3 linked regions of the Xenopus tropicalis genome follow. The protein of the gene in region 2 purifies or fractionates together with the protein of the main gene of each other region. This does not show direct contact. Links are inferred from orthologs where the notes say so. Each region holds a gene or a part of one and is shown on either strand. Other genes may lie near its edges.

Evidence for each region. Proteins that work in one complex are often made in the same cells at the same time.
Region 1: the proteins of mphosph10 (region 2) and imp3 purify together in Homo sapiens (affinity purification with mass spectrometry; 4 studies listed by BioGRID and IntAct, with this or other methods). This does not show direct contact. The link is inferred for Xenopus tropicalis from reciprocal best matches to the Homo sapiens genes MPHOSPH10 and IMP3.
Region 3: the proteins of mphosph10 (region 2) and imp4 purify together in Homo sapiens (affinity purification with mass spectrometry; 3 studies listed by BioGRID and IntAct, with this or other methods). This does not show direct contact. The link is inferred for Xenopus tropicalis from reciprocal best matches to the Homo sapiens genes MPHOSPH10 and IMP4.

Annotation. Positions count from the first base shown.
Region 1 is NC_030680.2:118,013,536-118,017,791, reverse strand, and holds the start of imp3 (U3 small nucleolar ribonucleoprotein protein IMP3), read right to left. Parts: upstream 2,809-4,256; 5' UTR 2,645-2,808; coding exon 2,508-2,644; intron 903-2,507; coding exon 795-902; intron 1-794. UniProt on the Homo sapiens protein: Component of the 60-80S U3 small nucleolar ribonucleoprotein (U3 snoRNP). Required for the early cleavages during pre-18S ribosomal RNA processing. Part of the small subunit (SSU) processome, first precursor of the small eukaryotic ribosomal subunit.
Region 2 is NC_030679.2:97,027,700-97,031,915, reverse strand, and holds the start of mphosph10 (U3 small nucleolar ribonucleoprotein protein MPP10), read right to left. Parts: upstream 2,802-4,216; 5' UTR 2,777-2,801; coding exon 2,685-2,776; intron 928-2,684; coding exon 240-927; intron 1-239. Other genes in the region: fan1 (fanconi-associated nuclease 1), read left to right, coding at 3,059-3,077, 3,758-4,216. UniProt on the Homo sapiens protein: Component of the 60-80S U3 small nucleolar ribonucleoprotein (U3 snoRNP). Required for the early cleavages during pre-18S ribosomal RNA processing. Part of the small subunit (SSU) processome, first precursor of the small eukaryotic ribosomal subunit.
Region 3 is NC_030684.2:596,862-601,075, reverse strand, and holds the start of imp4 (U3 small nucleolar ribonucleoprotein protein IMP4), read right to left. Parts: upstream 2,809-4,214; 5' UTR 2,788-2,808; coding exon 2,785-2,787; intron 1-2,784. Other genes in the region: ccdc115 (coiled-coil domain-containing protein 115), read left to right, coding at 3,003-3,125, 3,252-3,355. UniProt on the Homo sapiens protein: Component of the 60-80S U3 small nucleolar ribonucleoprotein (U3 snoRNP). Required for the early cleavages during pre-18S ribosomal RNA processing. Part of the small subunit (SSU) processome, first precursor of the small eukaryotic ribosomal subunit.

The DNA.
Region 1 (4,256 bases), on a different chromosome or scaffold from region 2:
TGACCCTCTAACAAATGCCAGATAAGGGAACTCTTACACCCAAGCCATACCTACCATCAGGTTGTGTTCCCAAAGAGTTGTGTTGGCCAGTATTGCAACACACAAACCAAAAAAAAGTTCAATGCACAATCCGAATAAATGTCTTAATTATTTAATTATCTTTTGTTTAATTATGTCTTGCCTGTCCTTGAGTGAAGTCTGTCCTTAATAAGAATAAACAATTCCAATTACAACATGTTTTTCAAAAAGAGAGAACATCAAATAAGAGGTAAAACCATGTGGAAGTTTGGCTTATCTTCCTACAGAATACAAGTTTATGGGGGGCACACCAAGAATAAAGGTGAACTAAAACTTAATATTTGAAGATGGCTTTCCCACCCTTGCACATTTTCCTTACCCGTTTTGAAAAAGTGCTGTATTTTTGACCTAGAGCAGCAAGCCAAATACAGATCTGACTGCCCAAGGAGCAACAGAGGTGGGGCTGCTTATTATACCTTATAGGTGCTTACGGTCATCCGACTGCCTAAATCATTCTGTAGGCATTTGGCCTGCATAAAAAAGTGGTCAATACACTCCAAACCGTTGTTCAAGAGCTAAATGCAAGTGCAAATTCAAAATATGTATGGTTCAAAATCTATACTTCATATACCTATTTAATAAAAATGACGCGACAAGATGTAGAGTGCTGGCAGCACCCACACAATGGAAAATAAATACCTATAAATGTATATAAAGGATATATTTAAATTTGCAGCCTATCCATTGGGGCTAATAAAACTTCATTTCATACTTACAGTTTCTCTAGGAGCTTTGCAGTACTTTGGACACGAAATTTATCTTTTTCATCCAGGTCTCTAATTTTTTGGGCAAGTTCTCGGATATTTCTACTGAGTTTGTTGTACCTACAGGACAAATGAATAGCAAGAATAAGTGAACTATTAGACCCCTATAGCCAACACAAAATAGGCACTGCAATAAAGGAAATATAAAGGAACAGTTATGAGCATGTTTCTTTGTTAAAGTTTGATGCAAACCTTGTTCATAAATAAACATGGTGACATTGCATAGAAATGCATACAGAAGACAACACTCTTTTAAGCATTCATGCATTATTTGATTACTAATCAAGCTTGCAGCAAGTACATTTCATATAAACCCACTATTTAAGGGATGAGGTTAACACTTCTAGTCTCTTGCCTGAAAAGTACTACATGCTCTTGATATTTTCCATCATCTAAGATCTCATTAGCACAAAATACTGGAATATGGTTTCTGATAGGATAAAACTTGGAAAGCAAGGTTAGGGTTAGAAGGGCCAAAAGGTCCTCTAAATAAAGAAATGTGGAGAAATGTCTTCTGAAAACAGAAGGTGTTCACATGCCTCACCTCAAGCTATACACGTAGCATTGCTCAAACTGTCAAAAAAGTGTGCATATCAATATGTTGAAAGAATGGCAAGTGCCATTCTGCTGGGCAGTGTGTATTAAATACCAACTTGCCCCATGCTATAGCCCTAAAGCCTAATGACACAAAGGACATTTACTGGGCTTTTGGCATCAAGCATTATTTTTACTGGTCAAGTGGCAAACCTACTTGTGGAAGCAAATGAATAATAGGGATCATGCATCATATAAGGCAGTGGTCCCCAACCAGTAGCTCAAGAACAACATGTTGCTCACCAACCCTTGATTGAAGAAGCTCCCAGGGCCTTAAAGGAGGTTCTTATTTTTTTTAACTCAAGGCTTGGAGTAAGTTTTGGTCTCCATAAAATCCACCTGTAGGCTGCCAGTTCACATAGGAGCAACCAAATAACCAATCACAGCCCTTATTTGGTATGCCCAGGTAAATTTGTCATGCTTGGGTTTCACTTTTTACACCTGAATGTGGCTCACAGGTAACAATGTTGGGGACCCCTGATATAAGATATTAAGTAATGTAAACACATGTCACACAACAGTATGCATCTGGGACCACTGAGATTTCAGTGAAAGTCAACATTTTCAGCCTCTGTAAGCAATGCAATATACCACTGTACAGCAACAGAATTAATCACCCCATCAATATATTTCATCAGCAGTGTTTCAATCTAAGGCACCATCACACTGATATTACTATATAAATATGTTACTATTAGAAAAATAAGGAACCCTTCTAATACAAAAAGCAATTTTCTATCCTTGAAGGATCTTCAATCTATTCTTGTATTTAAACACTGATTGCCATTAGACCAGCCTTGCTAATTACATTTTAAAAAGTGTCTCTGATTTGTCATGTGTTTCGGTCAGCATGTTTAATAAACATAACAAGACTGAGTTCAGCTGTTAACAAGAGCCTCTGCGTTCCCGGAAGTAGGCCATATTGTTGTCATGGTGAAAGTGTCATGGCTGCGCCCGTTTCACACGTGTACGAGAGGTATTTATACACTCTAATCGCCATTCTGTAAACAACATATCGGAATGAAACATAGCTGTAATGATTTCGCTTTGACATAGTTAGGCGACACTTACTTAGTATAGTCTTCTCGCTTATCCAAATGGTATTTTCGCAGCACTTTGACTTCATGGATGTTATTATCCACCTCCCAGTTAATAAAGTCTACCTTTTTCAGCAGCTTCTGCTCGTGATACTTTAACTTGCGAACCATTTCGCGTGAGTTACAAAGGCGAAGGAGAGAAGCAGGGCGGAAAGATACGTTTATGCTGCGGGCCCGGGGTACCGCTTGTTCCCCTCTGTGAGGCAGAAGCAGGGATCGGTACCGGAAAGCTCTGTGAGGTCACGGGTAGAGGGCGGGGCCTCCTTGGACAGCTGAGCGCATGCGTATTGCTGAGGCTTGATGGAGTTACTGTATACGCTGTACCATATCTCATACCGTTACTATTTCCCAGCTGTTAATGACAAGGGGTGGTTAATATCTTTCAACATCATTTCCAAGTACACTGTTGTAATATATGTACTGTTTTGAGCACCTAACAGTATATGACAAACCTAGACGTGCATGCTAAATTTTTTACAGATTTTAACTATATAACTGCATTTATTGCCACATTTTCAGTGACTACAGATGATAGAGTGAAACTATCAGTAAACAGATACTATGAACTAACAATGACTGGTCATAGTGCTGCTGCCCTACAAGCATATAAATAAATATGTGGCAATATACTGAAACACTTTTATTGTTATTAATACTTATTTATATAGCACCAGCATATTCTGCATTGCTGTATAATAGAAGGGCAGGATCAGACTGGAAAAAAACCCAGTGAGCCCTGCTAACCCAGACCCCCTATTGCAGCAAGGTTGCTATGAGGTATACCTGCATAGTGGGGGGGGGGGTTTGGGAGGATGGCAGGGGCCCCTAGAGGGAGTGGTGGGCCCCTGAAGTGGCAGCCCTGGTGGGCCCTGCACATTCCAGTTTGGCCCTGTGGAAGGGTGTGCATACATCTAACATATAGGGGCAGATTTATCAAAAGACGAGTTTCGAATCCCGAATGGGAAAAATTCAGATTGGAAACGCAAATTTCTGAAGATCGCAAATATCACGAAAATGCTTACGAAAAAATCGTATTTGTCACGATAATAACGTATTGGCGATCTGAAAGTCACAAAATTTTCGTACCGAACGATTGTAAACAGCGGGCAAACTGATCTGATTTTTTCGCGCTAAATATAGAAAATAGTCGCGCAAGGTACGAAAAAGTCGCGCAAGGTACGAAAAAGTTGCGGAAAATACAATTGAACGAACGCTCAGAGCATTCGTGGATAAGTAAATGTGCCCCATAGATTACATAAAACAAAAAATATATAACCAATATGAGAAGTAAAGAGATACCTGCTCAATAGAGCTTATGATCTAAAAGAGGAAGGGGGTATGAGAAACCAGGTGAAGGGACTTGTATGCAGTTCGTTAAGTCTACTAAAAAATCAAGAAAACATTTTTTAAACCCAATAGGCTTGTTTTGCATCCAATAAGAATTATTTATATCTTAGTTGGGATCAAGTACAAGGTACTGTTTTATTATTACAGAAAAAAAGGAAATCAGTTTTAAAATTCTGAATTATTTGATTAAAATTGAGTCTATGGGAGTTGGACTTTCCGTAATTTGGAGCTTTCTGGATAACGGGTTTCCAGATAAGGGATCCCATACCTGTACTGTCTATGGAAATTAGGGATATTTAACAACTGTAGTTGTTTTGGATGAGAGTTATCACTGTACTTTAAGTTTTTTAACGGACACCACCTGATTGGGACCAAT
Region 2 (4,216 bases):
GGACATTATGCATACCATTAAAAATTACCCATTTGCCAAACCTGTTACTTTAGCTGTTTTTCTTTTTTTACCAACCATATATGCCTGCCTATTCAATGCAGACCATAACATCCTGAAGAGCTTATGTTCAACCCACACACCTTGAGGTGACATTCATATGTTTATACGGATGTCCAAATGCTTTGCAGGGCTGCATTTGCTCTTTTCTGATTAGTGGGCTTTATTAGTGCACAATTTACCTGTTCTTTGCTTTTTGTAATGTTAAAATCTTCATCCATATCATCCTCTTCCTCCTCCTCCTCATCATCTTCAGAGTCAATATCCTCAAAATAATCAACATCATCATCGTCATCCTCCTCACTGTCTTCTTTCTCGACTTTTTCTAAATAGGCCTCCATTTCAGACAACTTAAAGAACTTGTCATCAAGTACTGACTTTTCACTAGGTTTAGCCATTGGTTTTTTATTTGGTATCTGCTGACTCTGCTTCTCCAGTTTATCAATATCAAAGTCCATATCTGAATCATCATCATCACTGAATGCCTCCACTGGTGTTCTCTTTGGTCTTTTAGTATCAGCAGTTTTTTTCTTCTGAGTTCTTTGTTCATCTTCATTTTCACTAATTAACTCTGACTCTTCTGCTGACACACCTTCCTCATCTTCGTATTCCAATTCTGATGGCTCTTCCTCAGTTGACTGTATGAGATAAATATCCTTGTCTTTTTGTGTCTTACTAACTGCTTTCTTGAAGTAGCCAAGAACAGCATTGTTCTGCAGTTCTAGTTGCTGCCATATTTGCTCTTCATCAAAATTCTCTATAATCAGCTTTTCCAATGGGCTTCCCACCTCTAGTGCAAGCTGTGACTTTTGCAAATCATAAAGAGCTTTTGTTAAACAAGAGAACTCTGTTGCCAATTCATCCTGCACACTGAAAAAAAAAAACAAATGTATTTTAAAATACTCCTGCAAATAAGTAAAAAAAAAAAAATCATATGTACTTTATTACAATGTAGAAGTATGGGATCCATTATCTGGAAACCTGTTATCACACTCCATTATAAGCAAATAATTCTAATTTTTAAAATGAATTTCCTTTTTTTCTGTAATAATAAAACAGTAGTTTGTACTTGATCCCAACTAAGATATAATTAATCCTTATTGGAGAAAAAAATATTATTGGTTTTGTTAATGATGAAACAACCCCCAGAAAACCCAAGGTCCCTACCATTCTGGATAATAGGTCCCATACCTATATTTATAAAATCTAACAGTTGCCCACATTACTAGAGAGCAGAGTTTAGAATAGATAAAAATATCACACTCACAATAGAGCAGAGAACAAGAGTGTAGCACTGGACAGTATCATACAAACAAACTGTATTAATGTATTCTACTGTACAGCTCTGCGTACATAAGTAGCGCTTTATAAATAATGATATACATACATACATACATACTGACACAACAGCTATACGTGCCTTGGTGTTAAGTGTGCAACCAAAGATGGGAAAAGGGAGAAAATGCATACCAAGTAACAAATAGTTCTGTAGAATGCAATGGTGTTTTACAGAGCTTATCTTTGATCTCCTATGAAACCTGTGCCATTACGCACCCTCACACAAGAGGAGATTAGTTGGCCCACGGCAGTGACAAATCTCTTCTAAATGCTTTTGAACTGGCAATAATGTAAATTGCCATTGGGAAAACATATGAGTCGTTCGGCTTTCGGAAGTCTCCCACAAGTTTGCTTCGAGAGGAAAATGGGCAACTTTGGAAAGCCGAAGCAACACATTTTTTTTTTCCCACCAGTGATTGACATTATTGCCGGTGGGAAAACATTCCCACACTAAAGGAGATTAATTGTGGGGGCGACTAATCTCCAAGTTTGGCAGCGCTCTTAGCCTTATTTTAATTTAAATAGCTTCCCCCCATGTCTACACAGCAGCTTTGTTTATATAATAGTATATAGTAGGCATTTTACTAGTGCAGGACAACAGCACATTAAATTTTAATTATTTTAAAACACATTTTAGTGTTACCCCCCTACCTCTTTCACATATAACTTCTCTATTTCGTGCTCAGCATAGTCCTATTAAACATTAAGTAAAAAAACAAATTGAATTCATTTATTATAAAAGTGTGCCTTGGGTACCCAATGCCCTAAGTCCTTCAATGTGTTGAGACATGTCAAGCTGTTCAAACTATAAGATTGTTATTGAGAGAATAAGCAAAGTCGCTCAGTGGTTATAAATGGTTCAGATGCATAAGCTCCAACCACAGACACCATAACTATAGTGTGTATATATATATAATGCATAAAACAGCACTTTTCTACTCTTCAAAAAAAATGGTTAAAGCGTTTTAAGGATATGAAATAAAGGTGTATAATAAAGGTCTAATTATGTGTGGTTCTGGTGTGGATATGGAAGATTTTACGTACTATTGTTTTTTTTTTTTTGCATTTTAAAGAACAGAGATTAAACAAATCTTCAGTATCCTTGCCAGTTTATTTTTAATTATTTTATGTAATTATGGTTTTTCTCAGTGATTGGCACAGGCAGCTCAGTGAGTCTCCAGGATTTAGTCCAGCACACACACAAATGTTATAGCAGTAAACGATGGAAATAAACAGCATAATCATAGGCTAAGAGGATATAGCAGCCAATAAGGGTTCTTTCTCTGTACCTCAGCAACTGCTCCGGGTGGGCACTCACTAATTCCAGAACCTCCATGCACTGTTCCAGCCCATGCCTCGGTTCTTCAGAATCTGCCATCATCCTTTGCCACGATCAGCGCAGCTCACTCACATGTTCCATAGAGAAGAGGAAGTGCGCCTACGAAACCACTCCGGCCGGAAACGTTTGCTACAGTGCTATGGTTCCGTAAGTACAGTAAGACACACAAACTGACTGATATCCGAGTAGGATATGTCTAGCATATGTGCTTGCTTTACACTATGGCGTATGGTAACATGTAATTGCGAAAAAGGTCTTTCATGCAAGTACTTTTGGCAGTATTGTCTGTGCCAATAAAGCTATCCTGATTCGCTAACATGGCGGATGCCTTGGATTGTGACAGGTAAGAAAAGCGGGGTATTTGAGACTCACGTATACGCTGCTTGTTTCAAAATTGAGTCATTAATTATGTTTTAGTACCAGCTGCTTGGTGTGTATTTTTGGTACTTCGCTTTTACATTTTACTGCCAGTCACTACCATCTATGAGAGTTAATTACACCAGACCTTCTTATTACATTACATTAACATTTATTTATAAAGCGCCAACATATTCCGCAGCGCTGTACAATAAGTGGGTTACATACATTGGACATGCAGAGTAACATATAAAGCAATCAGTAACCGATACAAGAGGTGAAGAGGGCCCTGCCCAAAAGAGCTTACAATCTTATTTCTTGATATAGTCCTGGGGTTTACATGTCTATAGAAATGGTTGTTTCTTGGGAATGGTCCAGGTTTTAAAAACTGCACAAAGGCTGTTTATTGATACTAAAGTCAGAATTAACACTTGTAGTCTGCTAACACTGTATAATAACCACGTTATTGGAAAGGGATCATAATATAATCATTCATATTGTATGGCAAAGGTTGCTACCATATGACCCGGCCAGTAAAAAATATACTGGTTTTCAATGTGTAAACATAATAGAAAGTTTGTTTGTTTGTTTTTTTTTAATTTAATTGTGACAAAAAATAATTCTTTTGGCAGTCCTCTATCTACTTAATCTTTCTTGTGTTTGCAGGAGATGAACAATGCATTCAGAGGCTTAGTCAAAGTATATATCCCAGTACATCAGAAATGAATTCTCCTGAAAAGAAAAAATCCCGCAGAAGTCTATCCATATCAAAAAAAAAACCTAATGTCAATTTAAAAAACATTCAGTCACCAAGAAAAACATCAGTGTCTCCATCAATTATTGCCCTATTTAAAAATGCACCTCCTGCAAAGCTCTCTTGCCCTCTTTGTGCTGAAATGGTGCCACGATTTGGCCTTAACAAACACCTGGATGAAACATGCCAAAAAGCAAAGCAATGTGCTGACGATGTCATACTGATTGAAGAACAGGATTCCATGCAGTCAGAACAATGTCAAAGCACCCGACCATTAGAAAACATCAGAAATCCAGTCTCTAAGACTAGTCCTTCTAAAAATAATGAGAAACAAACAAGCTCATATTTTAACAAATGCAGCCCTGTAAAGG
Region 3 (4,214 bases), on a different chromosome or scaffold from region 2:
CCCAGTACAGCACAGCATTATGGGTAACTATGGGACTCCCCCGCACCCCTATTACCCCCAGTACAGCACAGCATTATGGGTAACTATGGGACTCCCCCGCACCCCTATTACCCCCAGTACAGCACAGCATTATGGGTAACTATGGGGCTCCCTGTACCCCTATTACCCCCAGTACAGCACAGCATTATGGGTAACTATGGGACTCCCCCGCACCCCTATTATCCCCAGTACAGCACAGCATTATGGGTAACTATGGGGTTCCCCCGTACCCCTATTACCCCCAGTACAGCACAGCATTATGGGTAACTATGGGACTCCCCCGCACCCCTATTACCCCCAGTACAGCACAGCATTATGGGTAACTATGGGACTCCCCGTACCCCTATTACCCCCAGTACAGCACAGCATTATGGGTAACTATGGGACTCCACCGCACCCCTATTACCCCCAGTACAGCACAGCATTATGGGTAACTATGGGACTCCCCCGCACCCCTATTACCCCCAGTACAGCACAGCATTATGGGTAACTATGGGGCTCCCCGTACCCCTATTACCCACAGTACAGCACAGCATTATGGGTAACTATGGGGCCCCCTGTACCCCTATTACCCCCAGTACAGCACAGCATTATGGGTAACTATGGGGCTCCCTGTACCCCTATTACCCCCAGTACAGCACAGCATTATGGGTAACTATGGGACTCCCCCGTACCCCTATTACCCCCAGTACAGCACAGCATTATGGGTAACTATGGGGCTCCCCCGTACCCCTATTACCCCCAGTACAGCACAGCATTATGGGTAACTATGGGACTCCCCCGTACCCCTATTACCCCCAGTACAGCACAGCATTATGGGTAACTATGGGACTCCCCCGTACCCCTATTACCCCCAGTACAGCACAGCATTATGGGTAACTATGGGGCTCCCCCGTACCCCTATTACCCCCAGTACAGCACAGCATTATGGGTAACTATGGGGCTCCCCCGCACCCCTATTACCCCCAGTACAGCACAGCATTATGGGTAACTATGGGGCTCCCCGTACCCCTATTACCCCCAGTACAGCACAGCATTATGGGTAACTATGGGACTCCCCCGCACCCCTATTACCCCCAGTACAGCACAGCATTATGGGTAACTATGGGACTCCCCCGCACCCCTATTACCCCCAGTACAGCACAGCATTATGGGTAACTATGGGGCCCCCCGCACCCCTATTACCCCCAGTACAGCACAGCATTATGGGTAACTATGGGGCTCCCCGTACCCCTATTACCCCCAGTACAGCACAGCATTATGGGTAACTATGGGGCCCCCGTACCCCTATTACCCCCAGTACAGCACAGCATTATGGGTAACTATGGGGCTCCCTGTACCCCTATTACCCCCAGTACAGCACAGCATTATGGGTAACTATGGGGCTCCCTGTACCCCTATTACCCCCAGTACAGCACAGCATTATGGGTAACTATGGGGCTCCCTGTACCCCTATTACCCCAGTACAGCACAGCATTATGGGTAACTATGGGGCTCCCTGTACCCCTATTACCCCCAGTACAGCACAGCATTATGGGTAACTATGGGGCTCCCCCGCACCCCTATTACCCCCAGTACAGCACAGCATTATGGGTAACTATGGGGCCCCCCGTACCCCTATTACCCCCAGTACAGCACAGCATTATGGGTAACTATGGGGCCCCCCGCACCCCTATTACCCCCAGTACAGCACAGCATTATGGGTAACTATGGGGCTCCCCGTACCCCTATTACCCCCAGTACAGCACAGCATTATGGGTAACTATGGGGCTCCCCCGCACCCCTATTACCCCCAGTACAGCACAGCATTATGGGTAACTATGGGGCTCCCCGTACCCCTATTACCCCCAGTACAGCACAGCATTATGGGTAACTATGGGGCCCCCTGTACCCCTATTACCCCCAGTACAGCACAGCATTATGGGTAACTATGGGGCTCCCTGTACCCCTATTACCCCCAGTACAGCACAGCATTATGGGTAACTATGGGACTCCCCGTACCCCTATTACCCCCAGTACAGCACAGCATTATGGGTAACTATGGGGCTCCCTGTACCCCTATTACCCCCAGTACAGCACAGCATTATGGGTAACTATGGGACTCCCTGTACCCCTATTACCCCCAGTACAGCACAGCATTATGGGTAACTATGGGGCTCCCTGTACCCCTATTACCCCAGTACAGCACAGCATTATGGGTAACTATGGGGCTCCCTGTACCCCTATTACCCCCAGTACAGCACAGCATTATGGGTAACTATGGGACTCCCTGTACCCCTATTACCCCCAGTACAGCACAGCATTATGGGTAACTATGGGGCTCCCTGTACCCCTATTACCCCCAGTACAGCACAGCATTATGGGTAACTATGGGGCTCCCCCGTACCCCTATTACCCCCAGTACAGCACAGCATTATGGGTAACTATGGGACTCCCTGTACCCCTATTACCCCCAGTACAGCACAGCATTATGGGTAACTATGGGACTCCCTGTACCCCTATTACCCCCAGTACAGCACAGCATTATGGGTAACTATGGGGCTCCCTGTACCCCTATTACCCCCAGTACAGCACAGCATTATGGGTAACTATGGGGCTCCCTGTACCCCTATTACCCCCAGTACAGCACAGCATTATGGGTAACTATGGGACTCCCTGTACCCCTATTACCCCCAGTACAGCACAGCATTATGGGTAACTATTACATTACGGTATTGGGGGGTATTGGGGGCCCCTAACACTCACCATGGTTGCGCTGTTCCGACCCCACGTGTAGCCCCTGAGAAATACCGGAAGAGAACCCCGGAAGTGACCTCACTGCGCCCCAAAGAAAGATGGCCGCCAGTGACGAACAGGAAGTGGTTTCCGTGACATGTCCCGGCTCTGTGCTTCCGCGTTGGGCAGTCATGTGAGTGGGTAGGAAGCACAGAGGGGCCCGGGAGTGAGTGAGTGAGTGGGTCGGGATGGGGTCGGACACGGAGGTGGCGCTGCTGTGCGGGCGGCTGGATGCGCTAACACTGCGCCTGATGGAGGAGCTGGAGAGTCTGCGGGACAAGCGGGAAGCGCTCAACCAACACATTGAGCAGGTACTACAGCTCCCAGCATGCACCCCGGGCCCCTGGCTGATTGGCTCATACCTACCTGCCGGGGGGGGGGGGGGGGGTGTATGTTCCCCTAGTGCGCTCCCCGTGTAACCCTTTCCTACCCCCCAGGGCTGGCTGTGCCTCTCCCAGGCCCGATACTCTATGGGGAACAAGCGTGTGGGCTCCCTGCACTACCGACCCGACATGGCGCCCCTCACCCTGGTACAGAGCCGGTAAGTACCCCCATGCATCTGCCCCCCCATGCATCTGCCCCCCCATGCATCTGCCCCCCCATGCATCTGCCCCCCACCCTGGTACAGAGCATGTTAGTACCCCCTATGTATCTGCCCCTCACCCTGGTACAGAGCGGGTAAGTACCCCCCCATGTATCTGCCCCCCCTATGTATCTGCCCCCCCTATGTATCTGCCCCTCACCCTGGTACAGAGCATGTTAATACCCCCTATGTATCTGCCCCTCACCCTGGTACAGAGCGGGTAAGTACCCCCCTATGTATCTGCCCCTCCTATGTATCTGCCCCTCACCCTGGTACAGAGCGGGTAAGTATCCCCCTATGTATCTGCCCCTCCTATGTATCTGCCCCTCACCCTGGTACAGAGCGGGTAAGTACCCCCCCATGTATCTGCCCCCCCCTATGTATCTGCCCCTCACCCTGGTACAGAGCATGTTAATACCCCCTATGTATCTGCCCCTCACCCTGGTACAGAGCGGGTAAGTACCCCCCTATGTATCTGCCCCTCCTATGTATCTGCCCCTCACCCTGGTACAGAGCGGGTAAGTATCCCCCTATGTATCTGCCCCTCCTATGTATCTGCCCCTCACCCTGGTACAGAGCGGGTAAGTACCCCCCCATGTATCTGCCCCCCCTATGTATCTGCCCCTCACCCTGGTACAGAGCATGTTAATATCCCTATGTATCTGCCCCTCACCCTGGTACAGAGCGGGTAAGTACGCCCCCTATGTATCTGCCCCTCCTATGTATCTGCCCCTCACCCTGGTACAGAGCGGGTAAGTACCCCCCTATGTATCTGCCCCTCCTATGTATCTGCCCCTCACCCTGGTACAGAGCGGGT